Diceros bicornis minor: one gene and its partners. The protein of the gene in region 1 purifies or fractionates together with the protein of each later gene. This does not show direct contact. Links are inferred from orthologs where the notes say so. Each region holds a gene or a part of one and is shown in the gene's direction. Other genes may lie near its edges.

What was found. Proteins that work in one complex are often made in the same cells at the same time.
Region 2: the proteins of EXOC2 (region 1) and EXOC7 fractionate together in Homo sapiens (co-fractionation; 4 studies listed by BioGRID, with this or other methods). This does not show direct contact. The link is inferred for Diceros bicornis minor from reciprocal best matches to the Homo sapiens genes EXOC2 and EXOC7.
Region 3: the proteins of EXOC2 (region 1) and EXOC8 purify together in Homo sapiens (affinity purification with mass spectrometry; 7 studies listed by BioGRID and IntAct, counting the BioPlex papers as one, with this or other methods). This does not show direct contact. The link is inferred for Diceros bicornis minor from reciprocal best matches to the Homo sapiens genes EXOC2 and EXOC8.

What each region holds. Positions count from the first base shown.
Region 1 is NC_080753.1:65,647,668-65,654,684, forward strand, and holds the start of EXOC2 (exocyst complex component 2), read left to right. Parts: upstream 1-4,005; 5' UTR 4,006-4,083; intron 4,084-7,017. UniProt on the Homo sapiens protein: Component of the exocyst complex involved in the docking of exocytic vesicles with fusion sites on the plasma membrane.
Region 2 is NC_080757.1:56,465,820-56,473,573, reverse strand, and holds the start of EXOC7 (exocyst complex component 7), read left to right. Parts: upstream 1-4,733; 5' UTR 4,734-4,786; coding exon 4,787-4,846; intron 4,847-5,051; coding exon 5,052-5,117; intron 5,118-6,729; coding exon 6,730-6,914; intron 6,915-7,111; coding exon 7,112-7,217; intron 7,218-7,754. UniProt on the Homo sapiens protein: Component of the exocyst complex involved in the docking of exocytic vesicles with fusion sites on the plasma membrane.
Region 3 is NC_080745.1:24,862,814-24,870,122, forward strand, and holds the start of EXOC8 (exocyst complex component 8), read left to right. Parts: upstream 1-4,288; 5' UTR 4,289-4,546; coding exon 4,547-6,724; 3' UTR 6,725-7,309. Other genes in the region: DNA-dependent metalloprotease SPRTN, read right to left, coding at 2,571-2,670, 3,730-3,950. UniProt on the Homo sapiens protein: Component of the exocyst complex involved in the docking of exocytic vesicles with fusion sites on the plasma membrane.

The sequences.
Region 1 (7,017 bases):
GATATACCATGCAGTATGAAACACTCTAGGTGCTCATTTAATGTAAAAAATATATATACAAAGAACAGGGAACTGTGTCTGTCATAGTGTTTCCTAAGACTGAAACCAAAGGAATTTCATGCTTCATAGTTATTTTTTCTAAGTCAAAATAAATTTGATGCAGAATTGAAAACACAAAGCTGTATAACAATATTTAATTGACTCACCAGCTACTACTGTAATTTTAGGCTTAATGATTTTATTTGCTGCCAGCTTCTGTATATACTGCACTAACATTTGCTAACTGGCTTCAGAATACGGACCAGAAATTTAAGAAAAAAGAAAGAAAACACCATCAGTAATTTTTATATTAGTGAAAGGTTTTCTTTCCTCTTTTGAGTATTTTTGTTTCAGGGATACAATATTATTTGTCATTATTTTGATCCAGGAAAGATCTGTGTGTTCTCAAGAGCCATTCATACCAGCTTAATGGCAGGATCACCTAACTTGAGAAATGGTGTGTCACGCAGACCCAAAAGCGAGACAAGAAAAGGGTTTGGTTTCACAGTGAAGTGGGGTACCACTGCCAGGATACAGAAAACAATTTCCTTTCAACCTCTGCTGCCAGGTCTCTGACTCACGTTTCCTGTGTGTTTTAGAATGGATGACCCTAGGACAGTTGAGTTATTGCATGCTGGAGCGACTTTGACATGTCTTCTGATGTAAAGGAGAGAAAAATGAAGTCATGCTAAGTCCCACAACTCAAAGCATCTGTACAAAATATCATCTTCTTTTTCTCAGGATGTATTTCTCTAACAGGTGTGCAATTCAGCACATAAAGATATTTGAGTTGTAATAAGTATAGGCTGTTTTTGGTCTATAATAATGACTATTTAGGCTGGATTCCCCCAGAAGCTGACCCTGAGATATGGTTTCAAGGGCTAGTATCTAACTTGGGAGGTGATACCAGGAAACACCAGGAAGGGAGTGGGTATGCCAGGTGGGAAAGGGAAGGAAGCCAATAAAAGATGTGCTGTGAAGGCATTCCCGAGGGAGCTCTGAAAATACCCTGGATAACATGCCTCCGAACTACCCTGGGAACGGCAGCCCAATAGTTATACAACTATCTTTGGTTGAAGCCTACTTTTGGGCCGATGAACTTGCCAGTACTTCCAGCTTCCCCTGCATTGAGAAAGAAAGCCCTGAGGCACCGAGGGGCAGGTGTTCCCAGAAAGAAGCCTTCTGAGAGCAGAGGGCACAGCAGAGGAATATGGGTAGGCTCTGATGGCCTCTGCCACTGTCCATCCCTCGCATGCTGTGTTGTGTTCACGCTGTCCTGTCACTGACTCCTCACACTGATGTCCCATCACACTCACATCTGGAGCACTGATAGGTCGAGCTATGGGCTCCTGCTGCCGTTGGTCCTGAGGCCATTGTGATTCTCATAATCTTCTTCCTTTATCACCTATTCTAGATTCCCCTCACCCTTAACTAGCACTTCCGCTGGCCCAGGTTGCTTGCTTGAAGTGACCCAGACCTTCGTCCCTGTAGGATCTGAGCCTCTGGTTGCCATGCCCTTGTCAGGCCAGGGTTGCTGCATTGCGCATTTGCTGATATCACCAGGCATAGAAAAGATGCCCAGTGAGTGCCTTGAGGTCCAGAAATAATCCTCCCTGCTCCTATATCCTCCTGATCGTAAAGGTCAATTTTTTTGTTTCCTGTATGAGGATCCCAAACGAGGAGAGGGCTTTAGATATAGTGGAATCTTGTGTCCCCTGGCAAAGCATCCTCTCCTGCCATAGGAGCCAGGACTCTATTTGGACGCAGCACTGTACGCTGGTATTAGGTTCAAAATATATACTACATCCCATAGCACAGCAGCTCAATGCTGCAAAATGTTACCCCTAAGCTGGAGCCTTAGCTGTGCCTTTAAGAGGCCATTCTAATATTCTATCAGGGTGTCAGCTTCTGGGTGTGTGATGTATGTAGAACCATTGGCTCTTGTGGTATTGTCCCCTTTGTCATACCTCTTTCACTCTTAAAGGGGTCCCTGGTCCCAGGTGATACTATGGGAAATTCCATGATGATAAATCCGACCCTGTGTGAGCAATTGGATAGTGATGCTTGCCAGGGCCCTGCAGGCAGGGAAGACAAACCCAAACCCAAGATATGTAACTGGGTCTGAGGAAATCACCTTGCCACCAAGGAGCTGCCTGGTCTCCTCGAGGGAAGGTATCATACCTCTAGCTGCACATTGGCCTCTGCAGCTGGAGGGGGAACACACTGTCTAGATCTACCTTGTTAAGAGGGGTCCGTGCAGCTCCATCCCTGCCACCATGGCTACTCCATTCATAGGCCCATTGTACAAACCCTGGGCTGGCCCAGGACAGAGGCTGGTCAAATCATTCTGGTGCCCCTCTGCTGTGGATGCTGTCTGGTAGGCATTCATGTGAGACACACAGATTGGCCAAACACAAAGTTTGTGTAAGGTGTAAGTGTGAATTCCTGGGCTAAGAGATGGCAAGACCCCCCACCATGGTTGTGCCTCTGCTCCACAGCTACCCTCCTCTCCATTCAGCTGTAGCAGGTTACTCCAACAGGTCTCCTACCTTTGGGAATTTCTAGAAGGGAAGCAGGTAGCACACTCTTGATCACATACAGTCCCAGTGGTAGGCCAATTCTCCCAAGAACGGGACCCCCCATGCTCACCTCCACTCTGATGGCAGCAAGCACAGGCTCCTGCGTGTCTCAGGTCAGCAAGCACTAACCTGGCTTAGAGCCAACTGGGTGAGTCTCTTCTAAGCTTCGAAGAGGTGTCCGACCCCGGTTGTTTGGGGCTCTCTTTAAAATGTGGAGTGACTTTAGGGTTACTATATACTGTTGAAACAAGGACACTTGACCATGAAAGGGACACTCAATAATTAAGCCAGGATAACAGACAAAAACCAGGGTTATCTCACGCAGAGTGGGACATGTGGTCACCCTAGTTATCTGCCCCCTTTTCCAGTCTAAGTGGCCAATTCCAGGACAGCCAGAAAAATCCCTCTAAATATCCTGTCACTCAGCTTAAACTCCATGGTTCTCCATAATGTCATTTCTTTGCATAGACCCTCAAGTCCTTTGCTCCCTGCTCCTGCCTATCTCCAACCTAGGTTACAACTAATTTTCTGCTAACTCTCTATCTGCACTAGAGCAGCCAAAACATACACATGCTGACTGGTCCCATTTTAAACTTAGGACTACACATCCCAAGGGGACTTTCAGCTTTGCCTGGAAATCCTACCACATTTTCTTAGTAATTTTCTTCACAATATTCAGGATAAAGATTTCACCCTTTCTCCTTCCTCCTCACACCTCCCTTGCCCTGCATCCTCTGTTTTCATGGATGATCTTGCTGCTGCTTTCGCTAATAAAAGAGAAGTAACCAGAAGAGTATTTTCTCATCACTTTCCCCTGTCCCCACCTTTGTCCCCTTAGTGCAGACCACCATCATTTCTTGACAAGACTGCTGCAGTCGCTCCCTCAGTGCCATCTCTTTTCCTCTTGCCATGCCACGGTTTATCCTCAGCCCAGGGAGATCCTGACAGGAAGTGACTGCCTTTATTCGCCTGTGCGTCTCTAGCGCCCTGCACGGCGCCCAGCCGGTGGAGGTGCTCACTAAGTTTGCCGAACTGAAACGATCACACTCAGGGTTTCCAGGCTGTAGACTGGCATTCTCCTCCGCAACGTCCATGGTCCTGTGGCTTTGTGTGTCACCTAGCCTCCCAGGGCCTCGTTGGAGCCAGTGTCCTGACCCGCTGCAGCGTCCTGGCTCAGGGCAGGGCCCACCACAAAAGCAACGAGTGCCATCCTCCGGCGTCTCTGGCGGGACCCGACGTCGCGGGGCCGGAGGGTGCACACGGCACGCCCCCACCCCAGTGCGGAGCCCGCCCCGCCCCTCCGCGGAGGCTCGGCCATCGAGGACTCGGCGCTCGACTGCGCGGCGGATCGACGCCCTCGGCGCTCGCGGGGCGGAAGTGCGGCGCGGCGGTGGGGCGGCCGGCCGGGAGCGCTGGCGAGAGGGAGGCCTGGCGGCGCGGCCGGAGCGCGGCCAGCGGGCGGCAGGTACGTGTCGGAGCCCCGCGTACCGGCGCAGGGCCAGTCCGGGAGCGCGGGCCGGCAGGGCGGCGGGCGGCCTGCCGCGCGGGCGGTCGGAGGAGGCCCCGGCCCCGGCCCCGGCCTCTGCCGCTACCGGGCCGCCTGTGGGGAAGGGGCGGTCGCCACCCGCGCCGGCGGCACCCCCGGGTCTCCGCGTCCTGGCCGGGCGTTGCCCCGACGCTGACCCTCGGGGGTGGGCGTGCTGGCCTCCCCGGCCCCTCGCGCCCTGTGCGGCGGTCCCGTGTAAGGCTGAGGGTGGGGTCGTGAACAGCGGCGTGAGGCGGTTTCGCCTCGGTTGGGAGCTGTACCTGTCAGGTTCCTGACAGGAGCTGGTGCCTGTCACCGTTCTCAGCGTCTGCGTCCCCTGATTGACGTAATGCCCGAGAGAGTGGATGCTGACGTAGTGTCCCGTTTTACTGTTGGGGACACGGGAGCTCAGAGTGGTCAAGTGCTAGCCTGAGGTTGTATACTCCTCGGTGTTTGAGCTGCCCCTGGGACCATGCAGCGAGGCTCCAGAGCCTGCACACCCAGCCACTGTGTTCTCTCTCCTCTACGCCCGCTGGTGCTGAACTTGATACCCCAAGATTTTGCAAATAGACACTTTGTTAATTCCAAGAAACAGTTTTTGAAAGAGCTTGTCTTTAAATGGGAATAATCTACTTCTAATCGCTAAAGGTCAATCATACTAATAACTATGAGAAAATTTGTTTCTTTTTTTATGAATCTGAATAAACTTACAAGGAAACCGTTGAAAAATATTTTAAGAATCAGCCACACCTTAATTAAATCGTTTGGGGACACTGTATTGAAAAGCTAGTTCTAACTGAGGTTATGTGCATCCGTCTCCTAATGCATAATAATATTTTGTTTATAAATGTTAGTACATATATTCTGGCCAGACTTTGTGTAACTGACTCTAATGTCAAAGGAACTGAAAGCCAAAAGCTTCCCAGGGATCATCTGTGTGTTGAAAGTTGTTGACTCAAAGGGTGGTAATAGAAAGAGGATAATGTGTGCTTAGTACTCAAATGTTCTCTTCTGTTGGATTAAGTAGAAACTTAATAATTTTAAGCAGAGAAGCAGAGGATCCCCCAGAGTAAGTTGGAACAACTCTTGGAAGTTTCAGAAAGTATATATTTTTTCTTGTCAAGTGTTTAATATCCTGTACTGACTATCATTTTGAACTATATTACCTTTCTAAAAGATGGTTATTAACCTGCTGAGTTAAATTTTCATTCATTCCACAAATATTTGAGAGCCTGCTGTGTATGAATCTATGAGAAATGAAATTGGTACCCAAAAATTTTTGGCAAGACAGTCTTCTAATAAAGGACTTTGACAATTTTTGGTGTCAGGCACGGGCAGGATCAGGCCATATGGGAAATGTGGGTATGCAGTTCATCTCTCAATTTCTTTTTCACTCCTTCTCCAGTTTAGTCATCTTTGTCAGCCAGGAACCTAGTATAGCACCCGACACATAGTAGGAGCTTATTGAATGGATGAGTTTTAGGTCAGTAATGAGTAGAGAGAATTTTGAAATTGACTGGAGGAGAAATAACATTGATCACTCTGCAAAGCAGTAGTCTACAATGTTGATTGTTCTCAGACCCTGGGGAATATGTTCATGGCTCCCCTGGAGTGCCTGGTAAAATAGCATGGTAGTAGTGTTCCATTATAATCACATGATTCAGTGTGTTTATGTTAATTTAAAAGAATTATTATTGATACAAACACAAAGTAATTGTAGAGAAATTATGACTCTTGAAGCTGTGGACACACCCATAGGCATCCTTGGACTTCAGTTTGAAATTATGGATTCAAAAGGTATTTTGGTTTAGGAGTCAAAGCAAACATTTAGTGGTCCATGTGCTGCCACCCACCTGCTTCGTAGTGTGGGCTGTTACTTAGCTTCTTTGGGGTTCAGTTTCCTTTTTCCTGTAGTCAGAGAATACATAAAACTAGATTATCTCAAACAGTTCTTCTGGCTTTGAAATTTTCCAACTCAGTGAATCCTGTAACCACTTAGCACAGGGATAACCCTGTGTTGTCTTCAGGGCTATAGCTATTGCTGGTATTTACATATCTGTCAAAAGACTAAGCTCTTGCCAGACAGGGCTTAGTCTCAGTCATTTTTGTGTCTGCCAATTTTAGCATATGCCTGACACACACATTAGAAATAAAATAGTATTAGCCTGGATTCAGAAGGGGTGTTTTTGCCCTCTAGATTAAAGATTAAAGAATTGCTGAGAACTAAACTGTAGTATTGAGTGTAAGTACAGCAGGAGTTCAGAGAAGGGAAGGATCTGTTGGGGTTCGAGTTGTTGGGAAGGCTTCATGGAGGTCAGACCTTGATGGAGAGGATGTGGTCCTTTGGAGGGAGGGCATGTTAACATCTGGCGGCATACCAGGAACAAAGGCCACATTTTGGATTATGAAATGCCTTGAAGGTCAGGCACAGGAGTTTGGACTGATTTACTAGGCTTTTTTTTTTTTTTTCTGGAAAATTGTATTAGGCTTGCTCAAAAGCTTCATGAGTATTCTTTAACTTAATGTTGTTGGTAGCATTTAAGACTGGGGTGGATCATACAGTTGGCTTTATTTTTGGTTTTGGCTTTAGTAATTCCTTGTACTTACTATTTCCCACTTAAAATAAATCTTGGTGCCAATAATGGAAAGAACAGTGGACACTGAAATTTGGGAAGCCTGGATTTTAGTTAATTAGAATGTAGTTGCACCAGGTGGATCCAGGCAGGCCTTCACGTGGCGCCTGGCACAGTTAGCCTTCGGTGCTCCTTGGGCAGCGCCGAAGGACTGCTCTCCTTGCTTCCTGCTAGCTGTGCTGCTTTTGGCAAGGTTGGCACCTAGTTTCATCTGTAAGCTTTGATGAATTTTTAAAGTCCT
Region 2 (7,754 bases), on another chromosome or scaffold:
GCTGACTAGATCAATTTTATTGATGTATTTAAGAACCAACTCTCATTTCCTTGATTTTTCTCTGGTAATTTCCTGTCTCCAATTTCATTGATTTCTGCTCGAATTTTTATTGTTTCTTTTCTTCTGCTTATTTTGGATTTAATTTGCTTTTCCTTTTTCTAGTTTCCTAAGGTGAAAGCTTAGATTACTGATTTTATTTTATTTTATTTTTTATTTATTTATCTTTCCCCCCAAAGCCCCAGTAGATAGTTGTACATCATAGCTGCACATCCTTCCAGCTGCTGTATGTGGGATGCGGCCTCAGCATGGCCGAGATCTGAACCCGGGCTGCCAGCAGCGGAGCTCGCGCACTTAACCGCTAAGCCACGGGGCCGCCCCTTAGATTACTGATTTTAGATCTTTCTTTTCTAATGTATCCATTCAATGTTATTATTCCCTCTAAGCACTGTTTTCACTGTATCACACAAATTTTGATAAGTTGTAGTTTTTTCCTTTTCATTTAGTGCAAGATTAAACATGAAATGCCATATTTCATCTATCAAATTGGCAAAAATGTTAGAGTTTGATAATACTTAGTGTAGGTGAAGGTGTGGGGAAATACGCATATTTATACATTGGTATTGGAAGTATAGACTAGTTCAGCCATTTTAGATGGCGATTTGTACATATCTACAAAAATTTAAAGGGATATATGTTTTGATTTAGCAATTCCACTCTCAGAACGTATAGTGGAATTGCTTAATCAAAAAATGGTCATGTATTGGCCATGTATGTATAGGGAGCAGAGTCTGCAATAGTAAAAAACCTGGAAACAACCCAAATGCCCATCAATAGAGGACTGCTTCACTATGTTATATGTATTCAATGAAGTACTATGGAAAGAATGGAGTATGCCTCTACACACTAATATAGAAAGATGATCAAGATATACTGTTACGTGAACAAGCAGGCTACAGGAATAGTATGTTTAATGTGATAGCATTTGTGGTGTTTTTTTTTTAAGATTTGTTCTATGTATAATATGCTTGGACTTGTATGAATGCATCTGGAAAGTCACAACTGTGGTTACTTCTGGGACAGAGGTGCTTGGGGGTCAAGGAGAAGGAAGGCACCTTTTGTTTTTCACTTTACACTTTCTTTACAGTTTGAAGTTTTAACCTTGAATAGGTATTATATTTAATTTGAAAAATAGTAGTTTTTTTCTTTCTTTCTTTTTTTTTTTTTTGAGGAAGATCGGCCCTGAGCTAACATCTGCCAATCCTCCTCTTGTTTTTTGCTGAGGAAGACTGGCCCTGGGCTAACATCCATGCCCATCTTCCTCCACTTTATATGGGAAGCCACCACAGCATGGCTTGCCAGGCGGTGCGTCAGTGCGCGCCCGGGATCTGAACAGACAAACCTTAACTGCTTGCGCCACCGGGCCAGCCCAGAAAAATAGTTTTAAAACCAAATTGCACATTTGAGCCCACAAGTGGCTCAAAGCACACTAAACATGTCCTTTGCTCTGGCTTCCTTATGAGAAAGGTTGCCCACCCCTGGGCTCTGGACACCCTGGTCCTTTCTCTCATTTTATATTAAGAGGATTTAAGGGGGAAAAAAAAAAAACCCTCCTGACTACTATGCCAGATGGCACTGTTGCTGGCTGGTGGTTTTTTGTTTTTTTGTGTATGAGGAAGATCAGCCCTGAGCTAACATCCGTGCTAATCCTTCTCTTTTTTGCTGAGGAAGACCGGCTGTGAGCTAACATCTATTGCCAATCCTCCTCCTTTCTTTTCCCCCCAAAGCCCCCGTAGGTAGTTGTATGTATGTCATAGTTGCACATCCTTCTCGTTGCTGTATGTGGGACGTGGCCTCAGCATGGCCGGAGAAGCGGTGCGTCGGTGCGCGCCCGGGATCCGAACCCGGGCCGCCAGTAGCGGAGCGCGCACACTTAACCGCTAAGCCACGGGGCCGGCCCCTGGCTGATGGTTTCTAAATGAGGAAAATATACTATTTTTAATCATTACAGAAAAAAGGAAAATTACTTTTCCTAGAAGTGTTTTAATAAAAAGGTAATTTAAACTCACCATCTTTAGAAACTAGAAAAACAGAATCATCCATTTACTCTACTTACCATTTTAGTATTTTTCCTGAAGTCTTTTTTGCAATGTATCTATCATATTTCGAATGGCTGGAATCCCAGGGAACATACACTATTGTGATCTGTTTTTGTGATGTCATACCATACGCATTTTCAGCGTTGATGCAGGGCCAGGAAACGTTAATTTGGAGGAATTATACATCTGATTCCTCAGAAAGAGCACGAAGTCTGGAATTAGGAAGTTACTAAACTAAAGAGCATGCTGTTGGGGGAGGGGGCGCTTCCCCCCCCCCCCCCGTCCCTCCTTCTGGAAAGAGAATCTCTGCGAGTGGGCAGTGGGGGGCTTGGCTATGATTGGTACCTTTGTGTTCTGCACAAGTTTGCGAAGGAAAGCCACGATTTCTGAGGCTGCAATTGAAACACCACTTGCTCCTTTTGCTAAAGCAACTTGTGCTGAGTATAGCTGGGGAATTACAGCTTTTACTGAATTGATGTCTACTTGTCAACACATGTCCGATATTGGGTTGAGAATAATTTAAACTCATCTTTTCGTTTTGTCTACTTTTTACTAGATATGATTTCCATAAACATGACCTGCTTTTCACAATGGATTTTCTGGAAAATCAGATTGGCGGCTTTGCATAACAACGAACAAAACACCTGAGCTACCCAGCATAGGAGGCAGAGAACAGCCTCAGCTGTACCCTCTCCCTGGCCAGCTGTGTTGACTTAGTGCAGCTGACCTCTCTGAACATGAGCTTCCTCATCTGCAGAAGGGAGACGACAGCTGTGCCTGGACTCGTAGGTTTATTGTGAGGATTAGACAAGATAACACGAGGTTGGTGTTTGTAACAGAGATGGGCAAACAAAAAGCTCTCAGTACATGGTAGCTGGTGACCAAATTACACTTAGATGGTAAAGGAAATTTGAGGAAATACAAAATAAAGCACACACATATAAAGTTTATTTACAAAAATGCAATGATATTGTACAAAGTATGTGTTTGTTCACAATCATAGAGAATTCCCTACCTGAGACCTATAGAGCAAGATGTTATCCATATTTTTCTTGAGCATCTATTATGGGCTAGGTGCTGTTCAGAGAGGTTAAGTGCTGAATGAGGCTCTCCAGGCTGGTCCATCTGAGTCCAAAACCCTTTCCACCGTAGCCCTCTAGGCCACTCCTTCTGTACTGTGGCATCTAACAGTTCAAACTTTTCCCTTCACTTAGGATTCCACAAGGACCACCTCAGCGAAATCGTCCTAGATATCCTTACACAATGATTCTGTTTTTTTATCTCCTCCATATGCAGCAGAGCTCTGACTCCTGGATATTTCCTTCATCACCACGTTCACAGCCACTGAAATCAGATCACTAGATCTGAAATTGTCCTCCTGCCCCAGCAGAAAGCTGCCCAATCCCCTCTCCAGGCTCTCTGTCCCATTTCTTCCTTCTCTTTGAGGAGCTGGGTCCTGGGGGGGCCTTGGTGCCCCCAAACCTTTTCACCCACCAGCACAGGCCTCATTGTCTACCTTCCTGTTCCTGGATGTGGGATCCACAGAGGGACTGAAGAAAGCAGCGCAGCCATTTACTTCTCCAAGGACTGGGGCTGGGGCCAGAGGCAGGGTGGGCAGGGAGGGGATGGAGGAAAGACTAACACTAGGTTTTGCAGGAGCTGGGTCCTGTAGTGAATCCAGAACATCCAGCTCTGCAGGAGCCTGATCCAGGGGCATCTCCCATCCCCTCCCCTGGAGCTGTGGTTAGAGGAGACTCGGGGCAGAGGAGTTAGGATGTTTGAGAGCTCTGGAGAAGGGACCCTGCCAACCCTCCTAGCCTCTCTGATTTCCCCAAAGCCCTTGCAAGAAATCCTCCCTCTGTGTCTGAATAAGTGCAGGCAGGCCTCAATCTCTCCTTAACTAGGGGACAACACCAGCTGGGCCCCAATCCTTCCGACAGGTCGAGGATCTTCCGGCCTTCCCCTTGCACCGTTTCCAGATCTAGGTAAGTTCCCAGCAGAAGCCACCTGGTTCTCACCCCAACAAATAAAACCATACAGGGATGGATGCTCCCAGAACTCCGCCAGCCCCAGGAGCTTGGCTGGGCCCCACACAAGTCAGGATTATGGTTATGGAGGCCACCGGGGCCACAGGAGACCGCTCTGTCCCTTGCCTCCAGCCCAGGGCTTGCACACAGGGCCCGCTCCATAAGCTCTCGCGTAACGTAGGGCCGGAAGGGGAAAAGCCTACACAAGCCCCTGGCTCATTAAATGGTCACACATTAGGCGCCTACTGTATGACACGCTCTGTGAGGACCGCGACCTCTGTGCTTAGACCCAGAATGACATCTGGAGAAACGAATTCATCAGCGACCTTTATCAAAAGAGTCAGCCTTCCAACGAAGACAGCAAGTGAGCTGTAACAGTCCTGCCAGCTGCGGAATATAACACAGCTCCAGTCTTCTCTCATGACGCAAGGAACCCGCACGGAGCTGAAACCTGGTCTCACTTCCCAGCCACACCCAAGATGGCCACCTGCCCAGGCCCGTTACTGAGGTCCGCTCAGGCGCGCTTCCTCCTGCCACTCCCAACATGGCACCACGGGCGCGCCCGGGGCGGGGCCAAGGGCGGAAGTGGGTGTGACAGGGACGGGAGCCCAGAGGGCACACTAAGACAAGGTACTGGGGAGTGGGAGCCGCAGGGTCGAAGCGATGATCCCCCCGCAGGAGGCGTCCGCCCGTCGCCGAGAAATAGAGGACAAACTGAAGCAGGTGGGACTGGGGCTGGGGAGGCGGAAGAAGAGGAGAGGGAAGAGCCGAGATCTGGGCCTCGGGCATCTACTCAGGGAGGAGGCGGTGGTGGGAGGGGGCGCTCCCTGCGAGGAGATGGGGTTGGGGGCGAGGCTGTGGGGCCCGGACGCGGTGATCTCCTTTAGCCTCAGGCTTCTGGTGATGTCCTCCCGTCCGCTTCCCCCAGGAGGAGGAGACACTGTCCTTCATCCGAGACAGCCTGGAGAAGAGTGACCAGCTCACAAAGAACATGGTGAGTAACCCCTCAGGTGGGAGGGGCAGACAGGCCTCCATACCCTGGAAGAGAGCCCTGCGATCCGGTGGTTCTGATACATCAGGCCTGGGGGTTCTGGCCTGGGGAGTGGTGGTGGTAAAGTGTGGGTTTCTCTAGCAACAGTGTGGCATCTCTCTTACCCAGCTCCCTTCCCCTTTGTCCGCCCCTTCACTGAGGATGCTGCAGCCCCTGCTGGCCTGGACTTTCTGCTTTCTAAGTTCTCCATTCTTCCTTCTCTCCTTCCGCAGATATTCAGGGAGACTGACTTAGGTGGGCTGGCTACTGGTCATGTGTCATCAATTCAAATGACGGTAGGACAGCAGGGTTAGCACTTCTGAGATTACTAAGGGCAGAGAAGACTAAGCCTTCACCCCAGAGGGCTTTAAGGGTAGAACGAGACAGACCTGGGATCTGGTCCTCGCCTCTCCACTTACTGTGGCTCCTGGCAGATGACTCGGAGCCTCAGTTAACTCATCTGCTAAAATAGAGACAATGTAGCTATGAAGGTCATAGAAACGAATGCATGGGAATGCATCTTACATGGTACCTGGTATACAGTAGGTACGCAATAAATATGAGTTTCCTTCCTTATTCCTAGAGGAGACTGGAAAAGCACAAATTGAGTAGATACAAACTTGGATATGTATTTAGTAACACAACCGTAAAGTCCTGTGTAACCACGGGCCTACTAGGACCAGTTCAGCTGACCCCATCTCATCAACAGAGTAATTAAGAGTTGTCTTTCAGGAACTGAGAGTTCCCCCTTGTCCAGTTCAGGCTGGTTAAGACCACCAGCCCATCAACTGGGCCTGCGCAAATGCCCAATAAGTGACCCTGTTGATGTCAAAGGGCTGAAAACTCACCCTCAGATCATACTATCACCACCATTTTGTGAACATGCATCCTATGAAGAGCCGTGAAGCTTGACTACGCTTGCACAGATCATCAGTTACCTCACTTCTCTTTACCTCCAATCATCTATCTCCACACTTCAGACCACATGCTCTTCATCTCATAAATTTTGCCCCAAGTCCTGGATGGAGGAGAAAGATCTGAGAACGTACGCCTCTTGTCTCCTTGCAGATCGATCCATCAATAAAGCTTTTTTCTTTTCCCAAAAGCTGATGCCATAATAGTTGGCTTTTTTTATGTGCATCGGGTAGGAGGACCCCAGTTTTGTGCAGTAACATAAGTCCTTGTTTAATGAAATTCACCCTTAGAGAGAGTTTTGAAAGTACCAGAAATGCATTCGAGGCTACTCAGTATGAAACAACTTCCTGTTCAGTCTAGGAAAGCTTCAGAGAGAACAGAAATTGAGATTTGGCTTCACAGCGTGGAAGGGAAGTCATCCTGTGGTGATTATCTTAGGAGGAGTTAATTTAATGCTTAGCTTGCCTTCAAATCAAATTTCAACCAATTTACTTGGACTACCTCCTATGTGCCAGGCACATGGTAGGTGCTGGGGACTCAATGGTGAACAGGTACACCCTGTCCCTTTTGTCATGGAACTTATTGTCTAGAAAACCAGAGAAAAAGCAGAAGCAGTGCTGGGCCACCCTGAGGCCTGAGAGCACGGTGCATCCCCCTACAGGTATCTATCCTGTCGTCCTTTGAGAGCCGCCTTATGAAGCTGGAGAACTCCATCATCCCTGTGCACAAGCAGACAGAAAACCTGCAGCGACTGCAGGAGAATGTTGAGAAGACTCTGTCCTGCTTGGACCATGTCATCAGTTACTACCATGTGGCCAGTGACACTGAGAAGATCATCAGGGAGGGGTGAGCCAGGGCCAGAGGGTCACATTCCTAATGCCTCCTGGACCAGCGACCCTAGGCCTTAGAAGGGAGAGGTAGAATATATTTGAGCCTGGAGTCCCCTGTGTTAATTCTCTTCTTCCCCTTCTAAATACCATTCCCGTGGTCTTTCCTCTTCATCTTCCATCCACCCAGGCTGATACAGCTCTTTTCCTTCCCAGCCCCACAGGCAGGCTGGAAGAGTACCTGGGAAGTATGGCCAAGATTCAGAAGGCTGTGGAGTATTTCCAGGACAACAGCCCAGACAGCCCAGAGCTCAACAAAGTGGTAAGGGGCCAGCACAGTGGTGTGACAGGTTTAGGAACACCAGTCCCTGCCCTGGTCTCATGAGGGAAACTGAACCAGCTTAAAGGAGAATATCGTAGAATAAACAGAACTATATGGAGTCAGCCCTGATGGCCTAGTGGTTAAAGTTCGGCGTGCTCCGCTTTGGTGGCCCAGATTTGGTTCCCAGGTGCGGAACCACGCTGCTCCTCTGTCAGTAGCCATGCTGTGGCGGCAGCTCACACAGAAGAACTAGAGGGACTTACAACTAGAGTATACAACTATGCACTGGGGCTTTGGGGAGGAGAAAAAAAAGAGAGAGGAAGATTGGCGACAGATGTTAGCTCAGGGTGAATCTTTCCAAAAAAAAAAAAAACAGAACTATATAATACAATACACATACTGTAGGTGTTAAGACCTCTGCCCAAGGAATTACAGATATACATTTTTATTACATTTTTATAATTTAAATTATAAATTACATATAAGATATAAATTTAACATTTGATTTTTATAAATGTATTTGTGTTTTGTTTTTGG
Region 3 (7,309 bases), on another chromosome or scaffold:
CCATCAGAAGAACTAGACCTGGCATTAATGAATTTTAGTCTTATAAAATTATGCTGAACAGAAAAATGGGAGAATCAGACATTTTAACTTGGTCATTATGAAAACATCCCTTTTAAAATTATCAACTCTATCTCTGAAAATGAACTTTATTTTTTCAAGTAAATGCCACTCTACTGAGGCTCAAATTCAAAGGCCATTCTATACTTCAAACACTTCTCAACATTCTAAAATAATTATAAATAACTATTTTTCTAAAAGAGAAACAAATTTAGGTTTCTGATTTTTGGTTCAATTTAAACACATCTTGAAAATGATACATGGCACCATACTGATCATTTCTATTTTTATATACTGTATCTACTATTTTCCACATTTAGGCTAGATTCAAGGCTCTACATAACACAGTCCCAAAACACCTTTATTTCCCACCACTGTTCTGTATCTGGCCAAAAGCAACTACTTCTGATTCTCAATATGCCACAAGTTTAATGGCCTCATTTTTTTTCATAACATTCCCATTCCTTCTGCCAAGAGTAGTCTCCCCTACTATCTCTACTCGTCAGAATCCAATCTGTCCTATAAGGCTCACCTCCATGTTTTAATTAGCAGTGGTGATAGTTACAAGGCAGTAGTGATGAGGCCAAGTGGTACAGGGGACAGGACAAGAGCTTTAGAGCCAGGGAAACTAGAGTCTAAGCCAAGGATCTGTTATTTATTGTGCCTGAGACCTTGCACAAGTTACAACTTGTTCCTCATCCCTAAAATGGGGATATCCTAATCTTGCAGGGTTGTGGTAAAGCATACTCTAGATTAACTATATTAACACTAGTTAATCTAGTCCAAAGTCTGGCACACAACAGGTGCTCAATAGTGAGTGAGTGGTAGGAGTGGTGATAGTAGTAGTAATAAACTCTGCATGTATGAAGCTTTTCTTGACCTCCTCAACCAGATAGAGTTCTTTCCTTCTCTGAACCTATTCATTATAATTTAGGTAGCTACTTTAAATACAGACCAGGGTCCCACTGTTCCTCCTGTGTCCTTCTTACCCGATTTGATACTGTAACTTTCCACCCACAGCAAATGCTCAGCTGATACCATTACCACACATTTCCCATTCTCTTCTCACCCATTATCTTTTAAACAAAATTTGTTCATATGTTTATTTAATCATTTATGCAATAAATATTCATTAAGCCACTATTATTCCAATTAGGGCTCCTTGTCAGGTTGATTTGGTTAATCATGTTGTTCGATTTTTTTTGTTTTACGTCTACTATTTTTTTTCTGCTTATTCATTGAGTTACCAAGAGACTTATAACATCCGCAACTCTGACTGTGGATTATTTCTCTTTTTGCTTCTGCTAATTTATGCTTCGTTTGCTTAAAGCTATGTAATTACTTTTAGGCTTGTTATGTTTTTATTTAATAGAATATTTTATCACTATAAAATATCTCCCCTTTTTTCCAAGTAAAACTTCTTCCTTTAAAATCTTTAGTCTAATACTAATATAGCCACAACAACTTTCTATTTACTTTTTTCCATCCTTTTACACTTAACATATGTGTGTCTATTTTAAGTATGTCTCTTTTAATCTAGTGTGTCATTTCATGTCTTTAACTGGAGTGTTTAGTCCATTTACATTTAATATAATTATTGATATTGTGCTTATGCCTACCTTTCTCTTTATCCAGGCTTTGTTCCTTTATTCCTCTTTCCTTTTTTATTAATCAAGTATTTCTGTTGTACTATTTTACATTTATTAGCTATTTACTTTCTTAAAAATTGTGGTAAAAAACACATTACATAAAATTTACATCTTAACTATTTTTAAGTGTACAGTTCAATAATGTTAAGTACATTCATACTGCTGTGAAACTCATTACCTTTTATTATCCTTAAAAACAGCATCCCTCATATTTCCAAGCATGTTTTAACATATTTCCCATCCAATGTCTACCACCCTATGCTCTTTTGTGCATACAAAGTGATATAACTGGGGCAAGACAAGTCACACTGGGTGCATCCTGGAGAATTTCAGGCATCTGTTAGACTCAACTAACCATAATCTAAGAGTTCCCACTGTTCCATTTTGCTAGCAGGAGTGACCACTAGCTCCAGATAGGAAGTGTGCCCTCACGCTGGTTTGTTCTGCCAGCTGGGCTAGATGTCCTGGGAGGGCAGGACCATGGTGGTTGAATAAAGGAGAGTCAAAATTTGTGTCTTAATAGGAAGATCTGAATCCTAAGTTTTTCTCTGCTTCTAAATATGTAACTTAAACCAGTTACTTAATCTCTCTGAATCTTAATTTCCTTTTATAAAAATGAGGATAACACACAATGAACATAAACAGGGTTGTTGTAAAGATCAATTTAGATAATATACATGAAAGCCTTTAACTTTGAAGCACTATAAAAATAGAAGGTAATCATTATTATCTGCCCCACAAAGTTTGCAATGAGGGAAAACTAGTTTCCTTTTTTGACACGTACAGGTTAATTCACAGGAGTCTAAATCAATAATAAGCATTTCTAAGTTACTGAATTAAGAATCAAGTTTATGCAAAGAATACCTCTACAAGATCCTTCCTCGGTCTCAACTTTAAAAGGGGTTCACTGAGACGGATGGAACACATTCCACCCCTCCCTTCATAGCTGCATATCCCAGCACACCTGGAAAACAACCACCACAAAAGCATGATTTACCAAATACATACAAAAGGGAAATAGAGAGGAAAGAGCAAACCCATATACATTCTTGGGCAGTTCACACTGAGAACTCTACGGCAGATGGCTTTCTTAAAAGTATACCCTCTTCCCTGGGAGATATTTGCATTTCACCCCAGTTATGGACATATGTGAACAGTAGTGGCTTCCCTTACCCTAACCAGGCTGCAACAGCTCAAAGAAGATAATCCTATTCTGCTGCTCCCAGTCTCCTCCCTACAAACTATAATCAGTTTGTGGCAGTAACAGCCAGATCTCCATTAGCACATCTCAAAATTATAATACAAGCCTATGTGAAGAAAACGTGCACTTTAAACACAATTTTATATGATATCTTAATCTGTTTTATTTTAGGTTGTTTTGTATCACTTCAAAAACAAGCACGGTAATATACAACCGCATCTTAAACTTGTTAACTCCGTTCCTGTACAGGACTCGATTATTTCAAATCGAGATTTCTCAAATTTAGCGTGTAGGAAAGGAATCCTTTTAGAGGCATCCCCGAAGACCCCTTAGGTCCAGAAATACGGAAACGTCAAGCCCTTGCCCACTCTAACACACGAGCTCACTACTAAGCGGTGCGATCCTAATGAGCATAGAAGAGGACAACACGCCTCTGGAGGTTTCACTGCGTCCTCAGCATTCCAGACTCTGGTTGCTTCTCCTTCCTGGCTCCTAAAACACTACAGTAAATCAAATCAGAAATGTGTTAATTTATTTTCAAGTGAGGTGAGATTCAAAGAAACATCCTCTTCTCTCATTGTGTCCCCTATAAGTCAAACCGTAGCGAGGTGGGCCACACAGCTTTCTTAAAGTTGTCTGGGTGGGAAAGAGAGATAGGGTAGGAAAGGGAGAAATACACGGAGAGGAGGTGCCTGGTCCAAAACCAGACGCCCTCGTTTAACGGCCCCTGGGCCGTCGAGGCGGAGAAGAAGAGAAGCCCAGGGCCAGGGGCTGAGGAAGGGCAGCCAGCCGCCTCTTTTCCCCAACGGGCTCGGGACTCACAGGGTCATTCGCATGCTCCACTTCACCTCGACGGCCTCCAGTTGGCCCCAGAAGAACCGGTCGTTGAACTGCACAAACAGGGCCTGCAAATCCGGGGTGGGGTCCACCAACTCCCAGGACGCGTCCACCAGTGACAAGGGCTCCTGGGCTTGATCGCACTCCGAGACCTCCAAGTTCCACTCCTCCTGAAGCCGTAGTGCCAAAACCAGGTCCTCATCCATCGCTGCCAGGATCCCAGCGAGGTCCGCCGGCTCAGAAACCCAAGGGCCGGGTGGAGCTCCTGGGAGATACCGGCTCTCGGGTCAGCCCGCCGATGTCGCGAGAACTCAGGAAAACTGGCGCGAGAACGAGAACTCAGCTTGCCCCCAAGGCCGACACCAGGATTCTGGGGCTTAAAAAAAAGAAGTCAGCGTGACACCTCCTAGTGGGCTCGAAACTGGGATTCCCAGGGCTTGGGCGAGAGGAAGGTTTCACTAAGCTGGTTATCGCCTTTACGCTTCGCCGGTAACTTCAAACACCAACGCCACGCTCGGCCCATGCGCACTACCTACGTCTCTTTGCCTTTCCCTCTACTCACTTCCGCAATACTCCCCCGGCGCACGCGCTCTAGGCCAATGGCGTTCCTGCGCAGACGCATTGTCTGCGCCCGGCCCCTCGCGCAGGCGCAGTGTCTAACGCTCAGACTCGAGCGCAGGCGTACTTGTCTGTCTCCCATCTGTTCCTCAGCCCTGGAGCTCGGCGGGGTTTGGGTGGGTCTCGACAGCGGCGGCACCGTCAGCAGCGATAGTGACAGTGACTGCGTGGGGCCCGGACGGAAATGGCGATGGCGATGTCGGACAGTGGGGCGAGCCGCCTGCGGCGACAGCTGGAGTCGGGGGGCTTTGAGGCGCGGCTGTACGTGAAGCAGCTCTCGCAGCAGTCGGACGGGGACCGGGACCTGCAGGAGCACCGGCAGCGCATCCAGGCGCTGGCGGAGGAGACGGCGCAGAACCTGAAGCGCAACGTCTACCAGAACTACCGGCAGTTCATCGAGACGGCCCGCGAGATCTCCTACCTGGAGAGCGAGATGTATCAGCTCAGCCACCTGCTGACGGAGCAGAAGAGCAGCCTGGAGAGCATCCCGCTCACCCTGCTGCCAGCTGCCGCCGCCGCTGGGGCCGCCGCGGCCTCCGGAGGGGAGGAGGCAGGGGGCGGCCCGGCCGGCCGAGACCACTTCCGCGGCCAGGCTAGCTTCTTTCCCACCCCCGGGGGCGCCTCCCGCGACAGCTCCGGGTCGGGCGAGGAAGGAAAGCAGCGCACTCTCACCACTCTGCTGGAGAAGGTGGAAGGCTGCAGGCACCTGCTAGAGACGCCGGGACAGTACCTGGTGTACAACGGGGACTTGGTGGAATACGACGCGGACCACATGGCCCAAGTGCAGCGGGTGCACGGCTTTCTCATGAACGACTGTTTGCTGGTGGCCACCTGGCTGCCACAGCGGCGGGGGATGTATCGCTACGACGCTCTCTATCCTCTAGATGGTTTGGCTGTGGTCAATGTCAAGGACAACCCGCCCATGAAGGACATGTTCAAGCTGCTGATGTTTCCCGAGAGCCGTATTTTTCAGGCAGAAAATGCTAAAATTAAACGGGAGTGGCTGGAAGTGCTGGAGGAAACGAAGAGGGCCCTCGGTGAAAAGAGACGAAGGGAGCAGGAGGAGGCAGCGGCCCCTCGAGGGCCACCCCAAGTGACTTCCAAGGCCAGTAACCCATTTGAGGATGAAGACGACGACGAACCAGCTATTCCTGAGGTAGAGGAAGAGAAGGTGGACCTCTCAATGGAATGGATCCAGGAGTTGCCTGAAGACCTGGATGTTTGTATTGCCCAGAGGGACTTTGAAGGGGCCGTTGACCTGCTGGATAAATTGAACCATTACCTGGAAGATAAGCCCAGTCCACCTCCTGTAAAAGAACTAAGGGCCAAAGTGGATGAGCGTGTCCGACAGCTCACTGAGGTGTTGGTTTTTGAACTCTCCCCAGATCGTTCCCTGAGAGGTGGTCCCAAGGCTACTCGCAGGGCAGTTTCTCAACTAATCCGGCTTGGCCAGTGCACGAAGGCTTGTGAGCTCTTCTTGAGAAACAGGGCAGCAGCTGTGCACACTGCCATCCGTCAGCTTCGCATTGAAGGTGCCACTTTACTGTACATTCATAAGCTATGCCATGTCTTCTTTACCAGCCTTCTTGAGACTGCAAGGGAATTTGAGACAGATTTTTCAGGCACTGACAGCGGCTGCTACTCTGCCTTTGTGGTCTGGGCGAGATCAGCCATGGGCATGTTTGTGGATGCTTTTAGCAAGCAGGTGTTTGACAGTAAGGAGAGCCTCTCTACAGCAGCCGAGTGTGTAAAAGTGGCAAAGGAGCATTGTCAGCAACTGGGTGACATCGGACTAGACCTTACCTTCATCATCCACGCCCTTCTGGTGAAAGACATCCAAGGTGCCTTGCACAGTTACAAAGAGATCATAATTGAAGCCACTAAACATCGCAACTCGGAGGAGATGTGGAGGAGGATGAACTTGATGACTCCAGAGGCCCTGGGTAAACTCAAAGAGGAGATGAAGAGTTGTGGGGTGAGTAACTTCGAGCAGTACACAGGGGATGACTGCTGGGTGAACCTCAGTTACACAGTGGTGGCCTTTACCAAGCAGACCATGGGCTTCTTGGAAGAAGCACTGAAGCTGTATTTCCCAGAGCTGCACATGGTACTTTTGGAGAGCCTGGTGGAAATCATTTTGGTTGCTGTTCAGCATGTGGATTATAGTCTTCGGTGTGAGCAGGATCCAGAGAAGAAGGCCTTTATCAGACAGAATGCATCCTTCCTATATGAAACAGTCCTCCCTGTGGTGGAGAAAAGGTTTGAAGAAGGTGTGGGGAAACCCGCCAAGCAACTCCAGGACCTGAGGAATGCATCTAGACTTATTCGTGTGAATCCTGAAAGTACAACGTCAGTGGTCTGATGCTTGGGTCTGTTTATATGTATACGTATATGTTGCTTATATATTATTTATATTTATATTAAGTTGTATTAGCATATTCTTTATAGTCTCAAACACAGCTTAAAAATAAAAGATGCCCTCTCAGTTAGAAATGCAAAATCAAAAGGAGAAAGAAAAAGATGTTAAATTAACCCTAAATAACAATAACATTGGAATTAGTAAAATATATAATATGCTTTTCTTTTAAATCATGCTCATTCTCTAATGAATATATTATCACATTACAGCATTTCAGCTTATCCTTTGAGTCAAAACACACTTTCTCACAGTATATATTATGCAGCAGAGAAAAATAATATCTATAAATACATAGAGTTTAAGTATGTTGTGAAACGTTTCCTAGTTCACTAAAATGTTAGGTTTCTTAAAGGAGACAATGCCGTATAAAACACCCTGCTTTATATACTTCCTTAAAATGCTTAATATACTTCACCTTAAAATGTGATTGAACAATTTGGGGACAAGGAAGGAGGAGTTGAGAAAATTGGTTTTAGGGTAAATTTCAGTCAACAGAATTGCTTCTTGAGAGTAGCTAGTGTGGACTCA